Linked DNA regions of Cricetulus griseus. The protein of the gene in region 1 interacts with the protein of each later gene in a biochemical or structural test. Links are inferred from orthologs where the notes say so. Each region holds a gene or a part of one and is shown in the gene's direction. Other genes may lie near its edges.

What was found.
Region 2: the proteins of tyrosine-protein kinase ZAP-70 (region 1) and Erbb3 form a complex in vitro, tested with the Homo sapiens proteins (2 studies listed by BioGRID and IntAct, with this or other methods). The link is inferred for Cricetulus griseus from reciprocal best matches to the Homo sapiens genes ZAP70 and ERBB3.
Region 3: of the proteins of tyrosine-protein kinase ZAP-70 (region 1) and Lcp2, one has a biochemical effect on the other in vitro, tested with the Homo sapiens proteins (2 studies listed by BioGRID). The link is inferred for Cricetulus griseus from reciprocal best matches to the Homo sapiens genes ZAP70 and LCP2.
Region 4: of the proteins of tyrosine-protein kinase ZAP-70 (region 1) and Lat, one has a biochemical effect on the other in vitro, tested with the Homo sapiens proteins (2 studies listed by BioGRID). The link is inferred for Cricetulus griseus from reciprocal best matches to the Homo sapiens genes ZAP70 and LAT.

Annotation. Positions count from the first base shown.
Region 1 is NW_023276807.1:11,428,054-11,432,126, reverse strand, and holds part of tyrosine-protein kinase ZAP-70, read left to right. Parts: intron 1-614; coding exon 615-753; intron 754-844; coding exon 845-938; intron 939-1,011; coding exon 1,012-1,053; coding exon of another isoform or gene 1,054-1,055; intron 1,056-1,213; coding exon 1,214-1,267; intron 1,268-1,584; coding exon 1,585-1,777; intron 1,778-2,246; coding exon 2,247-2,453; intron 2,454-3,094; coding exon 3,095-3,287; intron 3,288-3,376; coding exon 3,377-3,517; intron 3,518-3,615; coding exon 3,616-3,728; intron 3,729-4,073. UniProt on the Homo sapiens protein: Tyrosine kinase that plays an essential role in regulation of the adaptive immune response. Regulates motility, adhesion and cytokine expression of mature T-cells, as well as thymocyte development.
Region 2 is NW_023276806.1:129,314,937-129,320,711, forward strand, and holds the start of Erbb3 (receptor tyrosine-protein kinase erbB-3), read left to right. Parts: upstream 1-2,236; 5' UTR 2,237-2,354; coding exon 2,355-2,544; intron 2,545-4,043; coding exon 4,044-4,103; intron 4,104-5,755; coding exon 5,756-5,775. UniProt on the Homo sapiens protein: Tyrosine-protein kinase that plays an essential role as cell surface receptor for neuregulins.
Region 3 is NC_048600.1:49,225,198-49,231,036, forward strand, and holds the start of Lcp2 (lymphocyte cytosolic protein 2), read left to right. Parts: upstream 1-2,300; coding exon 2,301-2,378; intron 2,379-5,839. UniProt on the Homo sapiens protein: Adapter protein primarily involved in signaling pathways within T-cells, as well as other immune cells such as platelets, mast cells, and natural killer (NK) cells.
Region 4 is NC_048596.1:74,436,779-74,442,835, forward strand, and holds the start of Lat (linker for activation of T-cells family member 1), read left to right. Parts: upstream 1-2,518; 5' UTR 2,519-3,198; coding exon 3,199-3,301; intron 3,302-3,503; coding exon 3,504-3,531; coding exon of another isoform or gene 3,532-3,637; coding exon 3,638-3,672; intron 3,673-3,889; coding exon 3,890-3,977; intron 3,978-4,116; coding exon 4,117-4,181; intron 4,182-4,264; coding exon 4,265-4,294; intron 4,295-4,379; coding exon 4,380-4,443; intron 4,444-4,512; coding exon 4,513-4,607; intron 4,608-6,057. Other genes in the region: Spns1 (protein spinster homolog 1), read left to right, coding at 1-31, 342-531, 877-942, 1,153-1,251, 1,543-1,714, 2,051-2,145. UniProt on the Homo sapiens protein: Required for TCR (T-cell antigen receptor)- and pre-TCR-mediated signaling, both in mature T-cells and during their development.

The DNA of each region.
Region 1 (4,073 bases):
TGGTTGGAGACCCTCTGAAGCATTTGAAAACCCTGCCAGGTGCAGCTTTCTTGCGTGTGTGTGTGTGTGTGTGTGTGTGTGTGTGTGTGTGTGTGTTGTATAGATGTCATCCGGACATCAGCCAAAGTCACCCAGGCAACCAGATAGCCAAGTGTATGGCTGAATATACCCTTGATGACCCCTGAATATACCCCTGATGACACCTGAATATACCCCTGATGACCCCTGAATATACCTCTGATGATTAGGTCCCCTGAGGACGTCTGTCTCCCAGGGGGTAGCAAACATGTCACTACTGTGGAAGAACAGGTGGCCCTGTGTATGGATGACCCACCCCATGGCTCCATGTCCACTATGGGCCATTAGTGTTCCCCTGTGAAGGGATACAAGTCTGCCCCTGGATTATCTCCTGTACACTCAGCATTGGCCTCTCTCCACCATGGTCACCATACAAGTGCAGCGGTTTGGTGGCACCCACCCATGGCTTTCTCATTCTCTGCTCCTGCTTCGTGAGGTTCTGGGTGTGCAGACCATGGCACCTGTGTTAGTAGAGGGAACCGAGAAACAGGAATCTCCCCATTGCTGTAGGGATGACGCCCTTCCTCCCCCTCCAGGCTGAGGCCCCGGAAGGAGCAGGGCACATACGCACTGTCCCTGATCTATGGGAAAACTGTGTACCACTATCTCATCAGCCAGGACAAGGCTGGCAAATTCTACATTCCTGAAGGCACCAAGTTTGACACGCTCTGGCAGGTAGGCCCGCCATGTTCCAGGGAGAGCCCTGTGGTGGGGTGCTCAGCTCCTGGGGGGCTGAGAGGGCCACACCTGACACCCGTTTCCACAGCTGGTGGAGTACCTAAAGCTGAAGGCAGACGGGCTTATTTACCGCTTGAAAGAGGCCTGCCCCAACAGCAGCGCCAGCACCGAAGGTGAGGGGGGTCAGAGGCGGGAGACGGACAAGCATGTAGGAGGCCATCTCCCGTACCCACTGTCCCTTCTGTTCCCCAACAGCTGCAGCCCCCACTCTCCCAGCTCATCCATCCACACTTCCTCAGGTGAGCCAGGGTCCCTTAGAGTTGAGACTTGGGCACTGGGTGGATGACTTCAGGGAGCTTGGGGTGGAGGGAAGATTGCTATGGAGGGGACGGTTCCTGGGGTGTCCTCAGCAGGCATGGGTCCTCCCTGGCAGACTGCTGCTGACCCTGTGACTTTTACCCTCAGAGACGAGTTGACACCCTGAACTCGGATGGATATACCCCTGAACCAGGTGAGCTGGTGGAGGTGGAGGTGGAGGTATGGGTTGGCTTATGCCCAACTGAAAGCAGGGTCCCTGGCTGGGCTGTGGGACTTAGCAAGAGATGACAAGGCTAGAGCCATTGACAGGTGCCTGTCCCATGCACAGTCATGCCTATACCCAACATGCCTGTCTGTATGTCTGTATATCTGGTGCATGCTGACACACGGGCATGGGTAAATCATGGTCTGTGGCCATGGGTCTGGTGTGGCTGAGCTTCCCTTGCCCTCTACATCCTCTGCCGCCCTCCTTTTTCTGATGTGGGAGTGCATGACTGTGTGTGTGCCCAGCGCGCCCAGCATCCTCAGGCAAGCCACGGCCGATGCCCATGGACACGAGCGTATATGAGAGTCCCTACAGTGACCCTGAGGAGCTTAAAGACAAGAAGCTCTTCCTGAAGCGTGAGAACCTCATCGTGGCTGATATTGAACTTGGCTGTGGCAACTTTGGCTCAGTGCGCCAGGGGGTCTACCGGATGCGCAAGTATGACCCACCACTTCTGCCAGGGCGGGGCCATCTGAGTCAGGAGCAATAGGAGCTGGGGCATCTGTCTCGTGGTAGCTTGCCTGAGAAGCAGACTCAAGGGTGGGATGTGACATGCTGGACCCTTATGTGGAAAGCCTGGGGACACCTGAGAGGGAGACACTGCCCTTTGCTAGGGAGGGCTTGGCTAAGTTGAAGTTATGGCAGAGAGGGTAGTCCTGGCCCCTGTGTTGACAGGCTATGGCATACATGGAGGTTCTCCCTGGGGAGGTGTCTCAGGCTGGGGGAGTCCCAGGCATCTTGGGGAGTGGATGTCCCGGCAGCAAGCCAGGGGATGTACTGTAGAACTCAGGGGACAGGAGAGGCAGGTTGGGTGCGTGCTTGCCCGGTTCACACCGGCACTGCGTGTGTGTGTGTGTGTGTGTGTGTGTGTGTGTGTGTGTGTGTGTGTGGCTGTGCCCCTGGGCAGGAAGCAGATCGACGTGGCCATCAAGGTGCTGAAGCACAGTACAGAGAAGGCTGACAAGGATGAGATGATGAGGGAAGCCCAGATCATGCACCAACTGGACAACCCCTACATCGTGCGGCTCATCGGCGTGTGCCAGGCCGAGGCACTCATGCTGGTCATGGAGATGGCAGGCGGCGGGCCCCTGCACAAGTTCCTGCTTGGAAAGAAGTGAGCCTGGGTGGTTGGCTGCTCACAGGGTGGGGGATGGAGCTGGGAGGGCACACACACGCACGCACGCACACACACACAAGCACGCACGCACGCACACACACCATGCATGCACACACACACACACACACACACACACATGCGCGCGCGCGCGCGCGCACACACACCACACACACACACACACACACACACACGCACACATGCACACGCACGCGCACACACACACACACATGCACACACACATGCGCGCGCACACACATGCACACACACACACACACACGCATGCACACACACATGCGCGCACACACACACACACACACACACACACACACACACACACACCACTTGCCTTTACTCCTTCATAGACATATGCCTGCCCAATGTGTACTCTGATGCCCACACTCATACTCCAAAGTAGGACTCCTGACTGTTTCTCCATGTGCACCATGGAGGTGATAGCAGGATCTGAGCCCAGGGCTCCTGTGAACACTGAACAAACTGATGCTTACGGAGCACTCGGCATCTGGCACTACTGACAAGAACTTTCTAGATGCCAGCCCTCTCACTGCTGCCCTGATTTTCTGTGCTGCACCCATGCCCCATGGGAAATGAGGCTGACTCCACCTTCCCCTCTGCCCCAGGGAGGAGATCCCCGTCAGCAACGTGGCTGAACTGCTGCACCAGGTAGCCATGGGCATGAAGTATCTGGAGGAGAAGAACTTTGTGCACCGTGACTTGGCAGCCCGGAATGTCCTACTGGTCAATCGGCACTATGCCAAGATCAGTGACTTTGGCCTGTCCAAGGCACTAGGTGCTGATGACAGCTATTACACGGTGAGTGCCACCTCAGTAGTGTCTAGGTGGAGGTGGTTGGTGGGCCAGAGGTCCCGGGCTCCTGTCCTAGCAGCACCTCCCTTTTTCAGGCCCGTTCCGCTGGGAAGTGGCCCCTGAAGTGGTATGCTCCAGAATGCATCAACTTCCGAAAATTCTCCAGCCGCAGTGACGTCTGGAGCTATGGGGTCACCATGTGGGAGGCTTTCTCCTATGGCCAGAAGCCCTACAAGGCAGGCTGGGCAGAGCTCAGCAGTGGTGGGCTGGGGAGGGGACCAACGTGAGGGAGCCGGGATCCTCACACTTGCCTTTTTGTCCCTGGCCTGAGCAGAAAATGAAGGGCCCTGAGGTCCTGGACTTCATCAAGCAGGGCAAGAGGATGGAATGCCCCCCAGAGTGTCCGACCGAAATGTATTCACTTATGAGCGATTGCTGGACCTACAAGTGAGTTCCAGATGGGAGCGGGTCTGGCCATTCAGTCCTGGGACTGGAGAAGAAGTCCTCATGCCCAGTCAGTGTCACCTTCACTCTATCTAGTATTCTAGATAGAGTGATCTATCTGTGGGTGCTCCCACAAAGATCCCACCTGCGTCTCAGTCTTTCTGAATTCCACCTTTACTCCATCCCCTCCATACTTAGCCCCTCCCCGCCCCAGTACAATGCAGCCACGGGCCCTGCCACCCTCGGCACACAGATCCAACAGTACTAGACCACCACAGCTGGGCTGTCACCCAGCAGGTGCTCCAGAACCGGGATGAACTTCCAGTACTCAATTCTCAGCCCCTACAA
Region 2 (5,775 bases), on another chromosome or scaffold:
CCACGGGCCTCTGCCTCCTGAGTACTGGTGATTAAAGCTGTGTGCCACCACCACCTGGCTGGCATATTCTTAATTGATGTTCCCTCCTCGAAGATGACTTCAGCTTGTGTCAGATTGACATAAAACTGCCCAGCACACCCATCAAATTGAGATGAATGTGTGATGATGTGAAGCCACGTGGTGGTGGCACACGCCTTTAGTCCCAGGGCTCGGGAGACAGAAGCAGGTGGGTCTCTGTGAGTTCAAGACCAGCCTGGTCTACAAGAGCTAGTTCCAGCCTCCAAAGCCAGAGAGAAACCCTGTCTCGAAAACAACAACAACAAAAGAAAACTATTTGATTGGGGGTATGCAGGTGGGACAGGAGGCCCTTAAGGCCCTTGTCACCTGATGGGAGGTACTCCTCCCTGTTGTGCTGGCTATCGAATCTCAATCCATGCCTACAGCTAAGCAACATTTGAATACTGAATTACATCCCAGCCCTGGAAAGAGTTTGAATATGACCAGATGAAGACTTGGTATACTATCATAAGAAACCCTAGGTCGCTGAACGGTTGTAGCCCACATCTTTGATTCTAGCACTCAGGAGGCAGAGGCAGGTGGATCTCTGCGAGTTTGGGGCTAGTGTGTTCTACAGAGCGAGTTCCAGGACAACCGAGGCTACACTGGGAAACCCTGTCTTGAAAAACCGAAAGAAAACAGAAAGAAAGAAAGAAAAAAGGAAAGAAAGAAAGGAAGAAAGAAAGAAAGACGGGGAGAGAGAAAGAAAGGAAAGAGGGAAATCCTGGGTCAAACTTTGAGCTCCTCCTCTTCTGTCACAATGAATCACATAGATAGATCTGGAGAAAATTCACAAGTTTCCAGTTCTGAAAAGATGAGGTGACATCCCTAGCTCATGTATTCTTTTTTTTTTTTTTTTTTTTTGTGGGTTTGGGTCACGTGTTTGTGTGAATTTTGTAAATTTTCTCCAAATCTACGTATCTATGTGGTACATGGTGACAGAAGGGGAGGGGCTCAAAGTATGACCCAGCATTTCTTTCTTTCTTTTTTGGTTTTTCGAGGCCAGCCTGAGCTATATGAGACCCTGTCTCAAAAAAACAAAACGAAAAAAACAAAAGAAAGGTTTTTAGCTAGTAGCTTTCGCCCAGGGGCAAGGGACAGTAAGTTCTCCAGGCAAGATGTGGAATGCCAACCTAAGGGATGGGAAATGCAACGGGCTGGGCACCAGGAGGCGCCCGTCGGACCCGCCCGGGACCTAGCAACCCAGGGTATGCGAGGCGGGAGGTCCCGGGAGCTGTGCGGTTCCTAGGCGCCTTCTGTAGCCACCTCTCTGCGCTCCTCTTCACTGTCCCCTCCGGGTGTGAGCGCCGCGGTGGCGACGGTGGAAGAGAGGCGGGAACCACGGACAGACGGACGGCGGGACGGACGGACGGCGCGGTCGGTCGGTCGTCCCGGCGTGGACTCGGTCAGAGACAGCTGTTCTCTGCGGCGGCCGTGGGGGGCAGCAGAGGGGACCGCGACAGGTGCGGGAGCCCCTCCCAGGGCAGAAGTGGGAAGGCGGGCTCCGGGGTATGTTCCCAGGCTGGAAACCACCCCCGCCCCCCAAACAAATCCCCCCGAGAGGCCGGGCCGGCGCCGGGTCTGCGGGAGGAAGCGGCCGGAGACAGTGCAATTTCACGCGGCCTCCGGGGCTCGGGTTCCCGGGCCGGATACTTGAGTTATGGGGCTTTGCGTACCGGGGAAAGGGAGGTGGCATGGACTCTAGGCTAAAAAACAACCTCCCACTCAGAAAAGTAGAAATATTCACACTCCAAAAGAAAAGAAAAAAACAAACCCCTCAAGTGATCCAACCGGCTAGGGGAGTTGGGTGATTTGGTTAATGGGCGAGGCCAGCTTTCAGGGGGCTGGGCTTTGGCGCTCTCCCCACCCGCATCCACTACCTTTCCCCGGCCCGGGGACATTTGGGTTCTTGATGTCTTCTTAGCCATCTCCGGGGGAAATTGCTAGAGTGAGACCCCTCCTTGACCCTCTTGGCCAAGCTGCGGGCTGGCGGGGCGCGCTCCGGGCGGGTGTCCCAGGCTGCAGCCACCGGCGACTCCAGCCTCGCACAGGAGGGGGCGCGGCCGTGACTCACACCCCCTTCCCCCTTCCCCTCCCTCCGTCCCTCCTTCCCAGACAGACACCCTCCTCTGCCGTCCCGCTCGGGACTCCGACTCCGGCTCCTGCTGCAGTTTGCAATCTCCGATTGCCGCCACCACCTATGCGCCGGGCTGCTCAGGTGGCTGTCGCTTCGATGTCCTAACCCAGGGGCCCCCGGGCCAGACTCGGCTGGGCTCCCTTCACCCTCCGCTGCAATCATGAGGGCGATTGGGACTCTGCAGGTGCTGGGCTTCCTTCTCAGCCTGACCCGGGGTTCCGAGATGGGCAACTCTCAGGCAGGTAAGCGGCGCGGGGAGCCTCAGCCGGCTGGAAGCGGAGAGCGAGCGCGACCTGAGCGCGCGCAGACCCTGGGCAAGGGGTTCGGGTTCTGGCGCGCTCAACTGCGGGGTGCGACCCCGAGTCTACCGGGACCACCTTGGAGGGGAGCGTGTGGCTTGATTCTCGGAGTGGGCTGGGCAGGGACTGCATTCCTGGATGCCTTCTCCCCTTCTCCCCCGGGGCGTCGCTGACCCTCTGATTGGTGTTTTTCTGATCAGGTTGATGTGGACAGCATCTGAGGGCCTTGCAGAGAGGGCGGGCAGGGACCCTTCTGCAAACCCGAGGAGCCTTGACTTGAAGGGTCTCGGTTTGCTCTCTGGCTCCCTGGTCCCCACCCCACCCGCCCCAGGTTTCAGCAACCCCCAGTTTCGTTGTTTTGCCGGCAGGGCGGAGCTATGCAAGGGTTGAAGTTGTTGTTTTCTGATGTTGGAAAAACAAGAATGGCACCTCCTCTTCCGTGAGTGGGGCTGCCTTGAGAAGGCTGAGATTAACCTGAGGGCCAAGTCCAGGTGACTTCAGAGTGAGAGGCCTCACGGAGGCTGGCTGGCTGCCTTCCCACAAGATAAGCTGGTCCCCAACTTAGCCAGTTTCTCTTTACCGAGGCCGGGTCAATTCAATTAACATGTGGAGCATCTACTATGTACTGTACTATTTCCTGAGCTGCAGGTGTGGGGGAAAGGACAGTTAGCCCTAGTTCTCTCTCTCCTACCTTCTGAACATCCTATTCCGTGAACTCGCTCCTAGACCCAACTTCTTCCCTTCCCCCATTCAGTTGTCTAACTTCAGACAGAGGCTAGATTTTACTTCTCTATACCCCCATTCCACGCCGTCTGAGCCCATTCCTCTGGCTGTCTCTGGGACTAGGGGCACCTGGAGAGTTCTGGGGCTGGTGTACTTCGAGTCCCGTTGATCTCGCTTCACGCCCACCCCATCTCATCTTGGGGTACAGCCAGGGCCCCTTCCCCAGAGTGGGAGTGGGAGAAACCACCTGTGCTTCCCCCACAGTTGCTGGGCCTAAATTTAGCCCCTGGGATCTTGAGGCGTGAACACTCCCAGCTGGTGGAGGGGGTGGTCTGGAGACTGGAGGGGGAGGTGCCAGGGGAGTGACCGGATCACTCTTCCATCTGATTGTGTGCTCTCTCCCCCTCTGTCCCCCCCAACCAGGAACCCAGGAGTCCGGGATTCCCACCACCCTCCCCGAGAAGCAGGGAGCAGGCATGGTTGAGTCTCTCTCTACCCTTTATCTCTATCCTGCAGCCTCTGGGCATCCGGCCCTGTCTCAAGCCTTGTATAGCCCCTTTGTCCCCTTGTGTGTGTGGCTGGGGCAGTGGAGGGGAGACTTCTGAGGGGCTGCATGTTCTTGCTCTGTCCAACCCCAGTCTGTGCTCTACATATAAGAAGGGCTCTGACATCGCTCCTCTTTGAGCTTAGGTCCCACCAACAGGCAGTTCTTGCTGCTTCCTTGCCGCCGGTCCCCAAGTTGCCTGGCTCCTCCTGGGTAGTTGTTTATACTCCCGTCCTGCCCAGGCCCTTTGCCCCTGTTTGTGAAATATGGACTTTGCCCTCAGGGTGGCAGGTAACCGAGACCTGTAAGGCCCTTGCAAAGCATAAGACGCAAGGTGTACAAGGTACTGTGGGCAGATGGGATGCGCTGGCCACTTGTGATACGTCTCAATACAGACTCCAGGCAGGGCCAGAGCGATATATGTTTCTGAGCCGGGGAACTGTGTACATGTTGGTGCACCAGTTGTGCACGGTGTGGCAGTGCTCAACACACGTACACACCACTTCCCTATACAGAGATCCTAGCTCCTCCCTTATCTGGGAGAAGGGTTGGCAGAGGGGTGTCCTGCCAGGAAGGGGACAGGGGTGGGGCAGTTTCAGAAATGACTAACCTTCCTAGTCTTTCACTTCAGCCCGAGGACCCTGGGGTTCCCAGGTGCCTCTGGGAGCCTCCAGGCTGTTCATGCCTCCTTGCTGGGAATAGCTCACTCTTTCTGTTATGGAGACTGATAGGGAAGAGGGCTTTATTTATTTATTTATTTATTTATTTATTTATCGGTTTTCCGAGACAGGGTTTCTTTGTTTAGCTTTGGAGTCTATCCTGGCACTCGCTCTGTAGACCAGGCTGACCACGAACTCACAGAGATCAGCCTGCCTCCTCCCAAGTGCTGGCCTAGGGATAAGGATCTTAAAGAAGGGGCCAGACCAGAGGTGTATGTAGCAGGAGGAGCTGGGGCCTCTGCTCTCTCTCCCACTGTTATGCTCTTGCCCTGCCTCAGGGAAGGGTGGTGAAAGCAGGTGGTTCGCACCCCTACCTCTACCCTCCCCATATGCTCTTCCTCTGTGTCAGAGGAAAGATCCATAGAGCACCAAGGACCAAGACTTCCCTTTTTACAAAGGAAAGTGAAAGCCTGAGACTGGAGTGTACTGGCCACTCTTCTGGCTCTCCCCTGGAGCCATCTCTCCTGCTGAGGAGCATTGCCACTGTTAGAAGTCTTTAATGAATCCTGCTGACAGTGAAATTGGGAAGAAGGCTTCAGAGGGTGTGAAGGGTCTGTTCTGTTTCTCTCCGGGGCTGGAGAGGTGCTGGGGGAGCTGGAGCATGTTGGCTTAGGGGAAGGGAGTAGAAGAGAAGCCAGAATTCAGGAAAGGGGAGGTCGCCAGCTCCTTATCCAGCTTTGGAGACAAAGCTCCCATTGACCCCCACCCTACTACCAGGGCTTGTCCCTGAAGTGAGGTCACTTGTCTGAGCCCAAAGCTCCGGGGTAAGAGGGGGGTGCTGCTGAGGATGGGGTGTCTGGGATAGGGTGGGGCAGCCCCCTCCTCCTGGATAGAATCGACTCATTGTGGGCTGAACTGTGTGGCCCCAGGCACTGCCCCCATCCCACCCTCTGTAGACACAATAGGGGCTGTGTGCTAGCCCCAAAGAGATGTTTATTCCAGGGCCTTAGAGAGAGGCAGGATGGGGGCAGAGAAGTAAGTGCCTTAGTTGACGAGGAGAGGAGAGGGCAATCAAAGTTTGATCCCTGCCTAATGTGTCCTTTCCAGGGAGAGGAAAAGTCCCCTGATGTCTTCCTTCTGTATTAACCCCTCAGTGCCCAAATTAGTCCCTGAAAGAGGTCCATTGGGGACCCTGGTGAGGAAAAGCACACATTTCACCTTTCTGTTTGGAATGGCCAGGGGATCGTGGAAGTGAGGAGACCCCAGCCTTGGAGTTCTAGTGGGCAGGGTCAGAGGCAACCGAATGTAACTGAGGGCAACTGAGGGGTTTATATAGAGGGGACATCTAGCTTACCT
Region 3 (5,839 bases), on another chromosome or scaffold:
CTTCCTTTTTCTGTTTTATTTTTAAACCCTGAGTTGGGTGAACAATATTAAAAAACACAATGCTGACCAAAAACAAAACAAAACAAAACAAAACCCCCACTGTTGCTTTTACTTTTAAGGATGATCTGGAATGTTCCTTTCTCTATTTTGAGAGACTTTGACTGATTGACTGAGTGAGGTCCAGAATCTTCATCCATCCACTCCACCCCCCAAGGCTCTGCCTAGAGCCCAGTTCACCCCATGATGTCTTCTTTACTCTACTTGAAAGTAATTTGCCTCCATCATGGCTGGCTGCTGATTTGAAGAATGAAGTAATGTCTCTCACTAGTCATGGAGCTTTGGAGAAGCAGGGAAGTGGTCCATTGAGCATCATCAATTGTTGACCATTTAATGTAAGTTACCAGGGTTAATGCCTTCTGCAGATCACCATCATGGACCACTTGCCAGGGCTGGGTCTGGCACTTCATCTGTATTTCATTTAAACTCATAAACAGGTAATGAGACAGCTACTAGAGGCAGCAAGGCCTCCTGTAGTGTGTATAAAAGGGAAAGCATACATGACTAAAGCTACCCTTGAGAAACCTTCTCACATTGGAATAGAGAGCTATGCACATGTGTGAGTCTGTGCATCCCCATATTATAGGCATGTATGTGTATGTACATATGGAACACTGGCTATACTGTGTTTACAGGTTGCCATATTGTACCAATACATTTGTTTTTAGCCTCAGGTCTCACTCACTGTTAAAGACTGTTTCAGTCTATGAGATCTGTTCAGAGTCAAAAACTGAAGGAGGATGCAACAGATTCCCATCTCCTATCCTCAGAGAACACACTCTTTGGCTAGATATTTGGTAGACTCAATAGCAAATGGAAGAAACGATAGTAGACAGAATATAAAGTGAAAAAGCACAGTGTATGGAAGGCATTGTGCCACCAATAACAACAATGCTTTAACCCTTTTATTTTTACATTTGCCTAGCAAAGGCATCAAAGTGTATGTATGTGCATAAGCCCTTTGTTTTCCTGCCTTGCAGATATGGAAACTAGTTACCTACACTGTCACTGAAGGGACTCTAGTTAGTCCGAACATGACAAACATGGCTCTAGCAGGCCTTGTCCTTTCCCCCCATTGCCTCTGCCTTGCCAGAAACTGTTAGATTACATTCCTAAAGCTAGGTTCACTTCCTCCTCCTGAGGCTGACTACCATTGTCCAGCTATCAAAGTATTGAAATCAAAAGCCCCCTTTGGCTCACCTCATTAACACTCCCAATAAAATTAAACACCTCATCCTAACACAGGGTTTTCCCTTTTACCTTCATAAGCCACATTTTCCTATCGGTCAGGTCTATCTCCTCTCTATCCAGAGGCAGTCATTTGCTCCAGTCTAGGGCAAATATCCTTCCCCTCTCTCCCTTCTCCCTCATCCTCTATTTCTCATTTTTGTCTCTTATTCCCTCCTCTTTGTCCCTCTGGGGTGAGTAAATATCCTTTGTCTTGAGAACTTGGACTTGGGGTGTCCTGAGCTGGTCCCTTCAGTCACTCCATGCCCCAAGGTTACAGTACAGACACATTCATATCAGAAATGTAGATAGTCCTCTGCGTCATCACACCCTTCACCACTCAGAACCTGGCTGCCTCACTCACCAAAACCCACTCACTCATCTTAACATGGAGAAGCAGCTGAAGGTACCTCAGCTTTCAATAAAAACAAACTGGTGGGGAAGGAAGCTGGAGAACATGAAGAGAACATCTTCCTTCCCCCACAGTTCACTAGAGGATGATATTATAGACAATTTTAGGGAACTTTCAAAAGAGACTCTTATCTGTGTAGACCCAGTCATGCGGGAGTGTGGTGTCAAGCTTTGGGTGTCTAGAATTCTAGTGGAAAAAAACTATTAGAACTGGGTTTAAGTCCCCACTTGGTTAGAGTGTCTGGACTACTAGGGAATTATCTCTCTCTCTCTCTCTCTCTCTCTCTCTCTCTCTCTCTCTCTCTCTCTTTCTCTGCATTAAGAGAGCTGGCCAGAGCTGGCCTTCCTTGTTTACTTATTTAGAAGTCAGCAGAGGAAGTGGTAAAGGAAACTAGCTGAGCCGTTTTCTGAGAAGAGACCATATTTGTTCACAGGGGAAGCCGCTGCTTCTTGGGATCTGGTTACAGCAGAAACGGTGCCTGTTCAACAAGGGTGTTCCTGAGTGAAGTTGGGATTTGGAAGAGCTAAGGACACCTCAGTGCTCTGGGTCTCTGTTCATGGCTGCAGCAGCTCTCCCCAGCCTGTGAGCTCCCCGAACAGCAGCCATGGCCTTGAAGAATGTGCCCTTTCGCTCAGAGGTCTTAGCCTGGAACCCGGACAGCCTCGCTGATTATTTCAGGAAGGTGAGTCCTTCACTCTTGTGCTTCTGGTTGGGCTCATATGCCTTCAGCAGGGTGGGCAGAGTGGAAGCAGAATCTGGATGGAATATGGAAGGTGTACAAGATAGCTGCAGAGTTACCACCTGCAATTGCTACCTTCCTGGGAGGCAGATTACTAAGTTTATGGGCAGTGTGTCCTGTAGAGAAAGATAGGGAGAGGGCCCTCCAGTGCATAAGCCCCTACTACACACAGGTGTGCATCCAGTGCTCCACAGACTGTCCTTTAAGACACAGTCCAATATAATGTGAGTTCAGTGTTAACATATTAATGTTATGCACTGACAGTGTTGCATCTCAAGATCACTATTTCATTCAACTGAAGTCAGCTTTTGAGTTTAAGTGGTCCAAAGCTCTTGAGTATTACTGGATCAGGTTGGATTGAAATCGTGCCTATTTAGCTTTATAGCACATGCTCTGAAATGCAGGGAATGGTTATGGTGAAGTCTACTTACTAGAAAAGGAGATATGTACTTCTGGGGTAGGAGGGATGGACAAGCAGGGCAAGAGGGGTGGACAGATGGCTAGATGAACAATGGTATTTGGGCATCCATTGTCCATGATCTTGTAAGAGGGCAAGAGTCTCTTTATTTGCTGGAGTCTCACCAGAGCTTTACGAGAATCCTTGAAAGCAGGCCAGAAAAGCAGACATGAGCCCCAGGATAGTTAGGGACACAACAGACAAGCTCAGCAGACTTACAAGTCAAGCTGGACCACAGTGTCCTGCTTCTAGGCTAGGAGGAGATAGTCGAGGGTCCTTGTTCAGTTATCTGCTAATGAGGACCACATATCTGCTTAGGCATATCCTAAGACACCCGACTCCTCTAAGGCACCCATGCAGAAAAGATAAGGGGTCTTATGAAAACAGGAGCTTCTATTGTCCCCATTTCTGCAGGCTGGTCTCACATTCCACTGATATTCCAGGCAGTAATGAAGATGAGGTCCTAAAGCTAAAACCATACAAGTCGTCTACTTTGCCTTCTATTTTTTTCTGAAGAAATGGAGATCCAAGGGGTAGAAAAGTCTCTTTGGGTTGTATAATCAAACCTGTAATATACACATTGGTGCCTTCCCAACCTACAGAAGTCTGTACTGGACGAGACATGGTAGGAGACTGCCCCACAGATCCTGGTATTTGCCACTTTTTTGTAAATCTTATTTTTGTTACTTTCTCCCCATAGGGTCATTATAAACTTCTCTTTCAACACAGTGGGTGGAAATATGATGAGACAATTGACTTTTTAAGTATGTTTTAAAGTTACTTTTCTTAACTAAAAATGAAGTAAGTTAGGGCAGAAAGGTAAATTTGCCATGGTGGAGTGAAGCAGTGAATTGTTTCAATAGATCAGTGAGAATGGAATTGAGAGTTAAGGCAGGGAAGTCTGGGGAGGGACCAAGAGGCATAGAAAGGCCCCACATTCAAGTGTAACTAGGATATTATGTAATCCCATGGTGCTACAGATAATGTGTGGGTCAAGTTCCCTTTAGCACAGGCCAAGCAGACACCACTCTGCTTGAGCTAAGAGATGAGGAGGTTTCTTCTTGTTGATCATGGACCTTAGTAAGAGCTATATTCCAGGGACAGGTCTCACCTTCTGGAGGGAAAGACTCAAGGGTAGGAACAAGGAACCTGGGGGTGGGGGGAGGGATTGATGATCCTAGAAGGACCAGCCCCCTGCCACAAACACAGATGAGACTCCGGACCCTGAGCTCATTGGTCCCCAAGAAGATACTCTGTGAAATGAACACAGAGCCACTTAAGGATGCTCTTGGATGTCAGTGTGCCATTTAAAGAATTGACCAGCAAGTGTAATGTCTACATAACATGTTGGGTTGGGCCGCTGAGACTTCTACCCAGCTCTGGAGTCAGATACACCTTAGTTTGAATTGTGCCCTTCCCATCTAGCTTGGGGATTTATTTTTCTTTAATTTCTTTGCTTCTCTTAACCTCAACTTACATAAAATAGAGGTATTAGCAGTAACTAACCAGATGAGATGGAGGTGAGGTTGAAAGGAGATGTGTGTGAGGCATTGAGTTCCATGTTCTACCCCCTTATCCCGATCTTCTAATCAGAATCTGACTGGGAAGGCTGAGACAGGCTGGTGAGGCTTTGTGTTCCTTTTGCCTCAGATACGTGTGTCTTGCCCTGTACTGGGGATGAAAATCAAGATTAAGGCCACAGTCTGCATGTCCCTAATGCCTCCAAGTGGCTTAGGCCTAGCAGGAGAGCAGTCTAGTCCTGGGCTATGTAGTCTAGTCACTGGCTCATAAGCATGTGTTCTAACTCTGTTGGGTTTATGCCTCACTGTATGACCTTAAGCCAGATCCTTCTCTCTCTGGGCCCCAGTTCCTGTCACCTACAAAGCTGAATAACTACTTGGTTAGGGCTAAGATTGGTAACTTAGGTGCTAGTGAGAATTACTTAGGGTGCTTGTTGAAATACAGATTTTAGGTCCAAGACTCAGATCTTGCTGAATTGCATCAACTGACTAGGTTCAAGGCTAGAGCTCTAGCTTTGGTTTAGAGTCAAAACTGGTACTCTGTAGAAATGGCAATCCATCTGATAGTGATGGCAGTGAAATGAATTAAAGGAAGCTGACAATTCCAAAAGCCCACTACACACTGTGCATGTGGGTCAAGGAGACAGCACCATGCTACAGATGCTGCCTGCCCTCGACATTGACCTATAAATCAACTTCCCAAGTTGGTCTTCAGTCTGCCCTTCTAGATAGGTAGGTGACAGCAATTACATTTTAAAATTATTATTATTGTTGAGACAGGTTCTTGGAGTACAGCCCAGGCTGCTCCTGGACTGACAGCAATCCTGTCCTCCTGTCTCATTCTCCTGGGTGCTAAGACTAGAGGTGTGTGCCACCACACCCATATTTGTTTACTTTGCACATTATTTTCGGGGTGGGGGTCATAGATAAGAAATTAGTTTTAAAAGTTCCTCCAAAGAAGGTTGAACTAACTGCTTGTGAGGGCCTCAGAGAAAAATATTTCACCTTAAATCCATTAGATCTCAGTCTTGGAGCTATGTCTGGTGTGAAGTTTTGTGCTATTAAGGACAAGGCAAGGTGGGTGCACCACAGTCATAGATTAACTTTGAAAAATAGCTGACCAAAGCCTTACAAATGCTTGCTTACCTCTGTTACTTTCCATAGAAAAAGTTAGGCAAAAGAATGTCCACTGTGCAGTGTAAGCTACCAGACAGTGCATTTGGATACACCCCTGGTTATTCACTTTAGTGATGTTGCTTAAAAACTATTCCTCATGGAAACTTTAAAGGCAAGTTCTAAAGCTCAGTTGTCACCTGTGTCACCTTCCACCTATGCAAGTTCCTGAGCTCTCTGTGTCTCTTCATCTTTTACACATGAAACTGGAGGATTAAGTGACTTACAGCCGCTTTGGGGTGGGAGCAGGGCCT
Region 4 (6,057 bases), on another chromosome or scaffold:
TCCCTGGAGACTCGTGTTCTTCCTCTGACAGGTACGTGGGAAGGGCTAGGTGGGGTGACTGCATGTGGGGGACATAAGGGGAATCCAGATTCAGACCAGGAGAGTTTGAATTCTGACTCTACCAGCTACCTCCACTCTTGGAGTGTCAGTTTCCGGTTCTGAGAACCATGTGATAAGGTAACACATTGGCTCTGGGGTTCTGTGCTGGATGGATCTGGGTATGAGGACAGTTGGGGTGGGCTGTCCTCGCTGGGTCAGAGGGCTTTACGGGAGGAGTAGCTCCCGTGTGCCTGCAGTAGAATACACCAGGGAGGGAGTCTCATCTTTGGGCTCACCCCTAGTCTCATCTTTGGACTCATCACATGCCTGACTGGAGTCTTGGGTGTGGGACTGGGTGTGGAGATCAGCCGCCGCCTTCGCCGCTTCAATCCTCGGGCTGACCCACTGGTCTGTGCTGCTGGCCTCCTGGGCTCCGCGCCTTTCCTCTTCCTGTCCCTGGCCTGTGCCCGAGGTAGCATCGTGGCCACCTACGTGAGTGAGATTCCAGGGGTCTAGTGGGTATTTTTGCATGGGGACAGGAGGGTGGTATGGCCTTCCTGGGTACCACCATGTCCACTGAAGATGGCTGCCAGCAGCTAACTCCATGTGCAGGGTCAGCCAGCAGAGTAGTTCAGGGCAGACTGAAGGTGGAATGCCTCCTTTCAAATCTCAGCCCTGGGCCTTCCCAGCTGGGTGCCACTGGCAAAGCAGCATGACCCCTCTGTTTCCTCTGGTGTAAAGTGGTACTGAGGCTAGCGCCTGCCTTACAGGATATGATGGGGACTAAGTGAGCTAATAAGCCTGGTCATGTGATTCCCTCCCTCTTCCGCCATCCAGATTTTTATCTTTATTGGGGAGACCCTGTTGTCCATGAACTGGGCCATCGTGGCTGACATCCTACTGGTGAGTAGCTGGGTAGAGGCTGAAGGGAGCAGGGCTATCAGGATCAGGAGATGACACTTGATCTGAATCCTGGCCTTTCCCCTTCAAACTTCTGCCACATGTGTACTTCAGAGACCAGCCACGGAGGGGACTCTGGGCCTGCCTTGGGCCCACATTGGGCTTTGGCCTTGTTTTCTCTGGGACCCCTACTGAATCTCCCCTTCCCCCCAGTATGTGGTGATCCCAACTCGACGCTCCACTGCTGAGGCCTTCCAGATCGTGCTGTCCCATTTGCTAGGTGATGCTGGGAGCCCTTACCTCATTGGTCTAGTGAGTACTGTCCCGTGATTGGGCTGGGATGGTATCGGGACCTGGTACTCCCTACTCTGGCAGATGGCTGGTGGATGGGATAGTCTGACCTACTGAGGCAATAGCCACCTGTGGCTCTTTCACCCTTAGCGCCTCTGGTGGTTGGGAAGGAAGCTGGGTAAAGGTTTTACCTGTGGGGCTGTGGGTCTCACCCTGTGATTCAAACCATTCCTCTTTCTAGGCTCCATTTTTCATTTTCTTGGTGTTCAGGCCTCTCCGTCCCTGGGTCTCTGACTCTTTTTGTCCTAGCAGATTTCTGACCGCCTCCGACGGAGCTGGCCTGCTTCCTTCTTGTCTGAGTTCCGGGCCCTGCAGTTCTCGCTCATGCTCTGCGCTTTTGTTGGTGCACTGGGTGGTGCGGCCTTCCTGGGCACTGCCATGTTCATTGAGGATGACCGCCGACGGGCTCAACTCCACATGCAGGGTCAGTGAGGGCCACTGTCACCCCATATTCACAGTATCACCTGTCAGTCTGTCCATCTGTTGGCTCACAGGTATGCGCCCCACATCTCTTAGTCCACAGCTGTCCCATCCACCCAGGCCCATGCTGCCAGCCACCTGCCAGGGTTGATAGTACCAGCTTCCCAGTACCATCCCACTCAGCTTTCAGTCTGTCTTAAAGTGTATCATCAGGCTTTCTGTCTATACACAGTTCTGAGGACTCTTGCTGCTGTCTCGTCTATGCCCCTCTGCCTGTTTGTCTCCTGTCCCCTTGATGGCTTTTATGTGACTGGCCTTGGCTCCGACCCCTTCCCCACAGGTCTGTTGCATGAGACAGGACCCTCAGATGACCGGATTGTGGTGCCTCAGCGAGGCCGTTCTACCCGGGTCCCTGTGTCCAGCGTGCTCATCTGAGGAGCTGTTGCTCACCCAGCCACAGGTTCACCACAGCTGGCCCTGGGCCCACCCTGGGAGGTGCCCAGGCAGAAGCCATCACCAGGTCCAGGTCCAAGGAAGAAGCCCTGGGATATGTCCCAGCTCCCAAACACTACATGGGCAGCCCAGGGAAGAGATGGGGTTCCAGAAGTGGGGGTTGTCCTGTCTATTAGGGCAGCCCAAGGGGTTTGGTGCTATTTGTAATGGAATAAAATTTGTAAGCAGACTATGACTGGCTGCTTGTCTCTCTGCGGGTGCCATTGGCTTCAGGGAATGTCTGTGGTCTCAGGACTTACTTACCAGGGGCAGTCGGGTCACCCTGTGGGTAAGTCCCTGTCTTCTGCGCTTGGGCCATCTAGAAGGAGGACTGCTCTTTTCTGAGTGAGTTGGTTCGGTGTGACCGTGAGTCACTGTGGTCCCCTGGAAGTTGTTCTCCCAGAAGCAAGCCTGGGAGGTGGAGGCAGTGCTGCCCTTGTTCCACACAGTCCCTGGCAGAACCTCATTAGAGTTCTTGTGCTCAGAGATGGGGAGGCCACAGCTGGCCTGGTTGGCATGTGTCTGCCTTCCTAGTGGAGCAGTTGCCTCATCCTGCAGCCTCAGACCTTTCCTTCACAAGGTCCCTCTGCCTCCTCCCCCTTCCCACAGCTGGGTGGGGGTGAGTGGGCAGGGGGCAGGCGCAGCCGGCTGAGGAGCCTGATGATTTCCTGCCCTCACCACAGCTTCCTGTCGCACGCGGGTGGTGAGGAGGAGAGGCAGGCAAGCGGGGAGCAAGAAAGGGGCAGGTACAGCTGGGCACAGGGATCGTGCTGCTGGTAGCTGGGGCACAGGCCCCAGCTCAGGCTTTAGGACTAGCCTCTTCCAGCACTGAGCTCAACTCAGTCTAGCAAGGAAGTGGGGGTCATTGAACCCCAAAGGAGGACACAGCTGCTTGCCACTGGATCCCAGGCTGGGGCCCACTCAGTCCCACACCCCTGCTGCCACTCTGCCTAGAGGGGCTGCAGTGCAGCAGGGCCTGGGCCAGGTGCTCTGCAGATGGAAGCAGACACTCTGAGCCCCATGGGGCTGGGCCTCCTGCTGCTGCCTGTCCTGGTCACGCTCCTGGCTGCCCTGTGTGTGCGCTGCCGTGAGCTGCCAGGTAAGTGGGGAGCTGTGGAGTACTAGATGCTAGGCACACCATTGGATCCCCATGCCTTCCCCAGCCCCCGGCTTCCTCTAATTGTCCATACTTCAGTCCTGCCTGGGGGGGACGGGACGGGACGGGACGGGACGGGACGGGATGGGACTGTCTTTGCTCCCAGTGCATTCTGATCCTGCCTCATTGGCTCTCTCTCTTCCAGTCTCCTATGACAGTGCTTCCACAGAGAGGTGAGTGTGCAGTCCCATTTCCCTGTGTGTCTTCCCTTTGTTCTGATGAAGGGCTTGGGGCTGGGGCCCTCTTGGCCCTGTACCTAAGCTGCCTCTTTCCTGCCAGTTTTTATCCACGGAGCATCCTCATCAAACCATCTCGTGAGTTCAGTGTCCTTGGCCTTCTTTGAGGGTTCTTGGGAGTGTGCCTTTGTCCCGCTAAGATGCCTGCAGGACTATTGCCTGGGTTGGGGGAAAGTTGGAGCCCCCATGCCTGTTTAGCACATGTTTTTTAGGGGTACATCTGTCCTTAGAGGCCTTGTCACCCGCAGGGGGGTTGTCTGGAGTAATTCCCTCAAGCTTGGTTCTATGTCCTCAGAAACAGGCTTCCCCCGAACAACTGCCACTTCCTATCCTCTTGTTACTTCCTTCCCACCCCTGAGGCAGCCAGACCTGCTCCCCATTCCGTGAGTACCCCTCAGCTCCCTCCCTCTGATCCATTGTGCCTCCTTACCTTTTAGGATGGGGGGGTGGCTTTTTCCCTGTTGTAACCCCTCTTGCCCCCAGATTCCTACTTAGACCTGGTCCCTGACCCTTGACTTCCAGGAGATCCCCACAGCCCCTTGGAGGTTCCCATCAGATGCCGTCTTCCCGGCAGGATTCGGATGATGGTAAGGGCGTACAGGGCTGGAGGGCTGGGGAGAGGGTGTGCAGCCTCAGCTGACTCCATCTTCCTCTCCCTCTCTCTTTGAAGCCAACAGTGTGGCGAGCTACGAGAACCAGGGTGGGTCTAGGGTCTGGGGTACTGGGTGGGGTGGGGAGGCTGGGTCTATCCCAGGTCACGTTGACTTCTCTCTCATTCCTCATAGAGCCAGCCTGTGAGAATGCGGCTGAAGATGAAGATGAGGATGACTACCCCAATGAGGGCTACCTGTGAGTGGGGGGTGGGAGGTGGGAGTGGAAGTTGGTGCCCTTTCTTACCTCCTCATCCCTTCCTTCCAGAGAGGTGCTTCCTGACAGCACCCCTGCCGCCATTCCTGTCGTCTCCTCTGCTCCCGTGCCCAGCAACCCTGGTCTCCGAGACAGCGCCTTCTCCAGTGAGTTAGGGTCTCTGACTACCTCCTTCCGCCATGTGCCGCCGGCTATGCCTCTCTTCCCTCTCATTTCTGCGATCGCCACCCTTCCATTTCCTCCCTCAGATCTTGGACTTCCTGCTCCTCACTTCTGATCACCTTGCTTTTCCTTTTGCCTTCCCTCCCTCTTTGTCTTATCATTTTATCTGTTGTCTAAGAAATTCCCTGACTCTTCTTTAACCTTTCCACTGAAATCGTATTTCTCAGCTGGATGTGTAGGCATGCGCCTTTAACCCTGGCACGAGGGATCTAGGTAGGAGGGTTGGCTTTGAGGCTAGCCTGGACAATACAGTGAGACCCTGTCTCAAAAACCAAAACAGCACTACCACAAACAAAAAGAAAAGAAAAATTCTTTTCTTTTGTCGGAAAACTCTTTTTTGGGGAGGGAGAGGGACGATTCTTGGTGTTCTTTTTTATTTATTTATTTATTTATTTTTGGTTTTTCGAGACAGGGTTTCCCTGTGGCTTTGGAGGCTGTCCTGGAACTAGCTCTTGTAGACCAGGCTGGTCGCGAACTCACAGTGATCCACCTGCCTCTGCCTCCCGAGTGCTGGGATTAAAGGCGTGCGCCACCACTGCCCAGCTTGGTGTCCTTTTTATTAAGTACCCTGTTCTTGTTTCATGGAAGTGATATCGTCTAATGTATCTGTAAGGTCTTTGGTTGGAGGTTGTTTCTCTCTCTGTCTCTGTAGGCCTGTCTCTCACTCACTCACACTCTCTCACTGAAGCTCCTTCTGCTTTACCATGTGGTCTTTGTTTCTCTTGGGCTGCATTTTTTGCTTTGGTCTCTTTTCCTTCTTGCTTTTTTTTTCCTGGACTTTCCCTAGGGTTTGGTGATCTTCAGTTTTCTACCTCTTCTCTCTGTATATCACAGCTGTCCCTTACCTGAAACACATACACACAGATTTGGGGATATTTATAGACATACAATGAATTCTGTTGTGGGTAGAACTCAAGGTTAAACATGGAATTAATTCATTTATTTTTATATATACCATATATATTTATATACACACTCTATGTGTGTATATATAGTCTGAAAGTAGGATTTTGTTCTGTTTTGTTTTTTTTGAGGCAAGGTCTCACTATATAACCCTGGCTGTCCTGGCACTCGCTCTGGAGACCAGGCTGACCTTGAACTCACAGAGCTCTGCTTGCCTCTGCCTCCCGAGTGCTGGGATTAAAGGCCACCATGCTCAGCCCTGGAGGAAGTTTATGCAAAATTTAATTAATGTTTTGCATGAAACCAAAATTTCATGATGTGGAATTTTCCACTTGTTACCTCTCACCAGTACTTAGAAGGTTTGGGATTTTGGAATATTCTCAATTTTAGAGTTTTAATTCAGGAATACCCAGCCTTCTGTATTTACCCTGGAATATTATGTCTGTACCTTGCCTATGTTTGTTTTGTGAG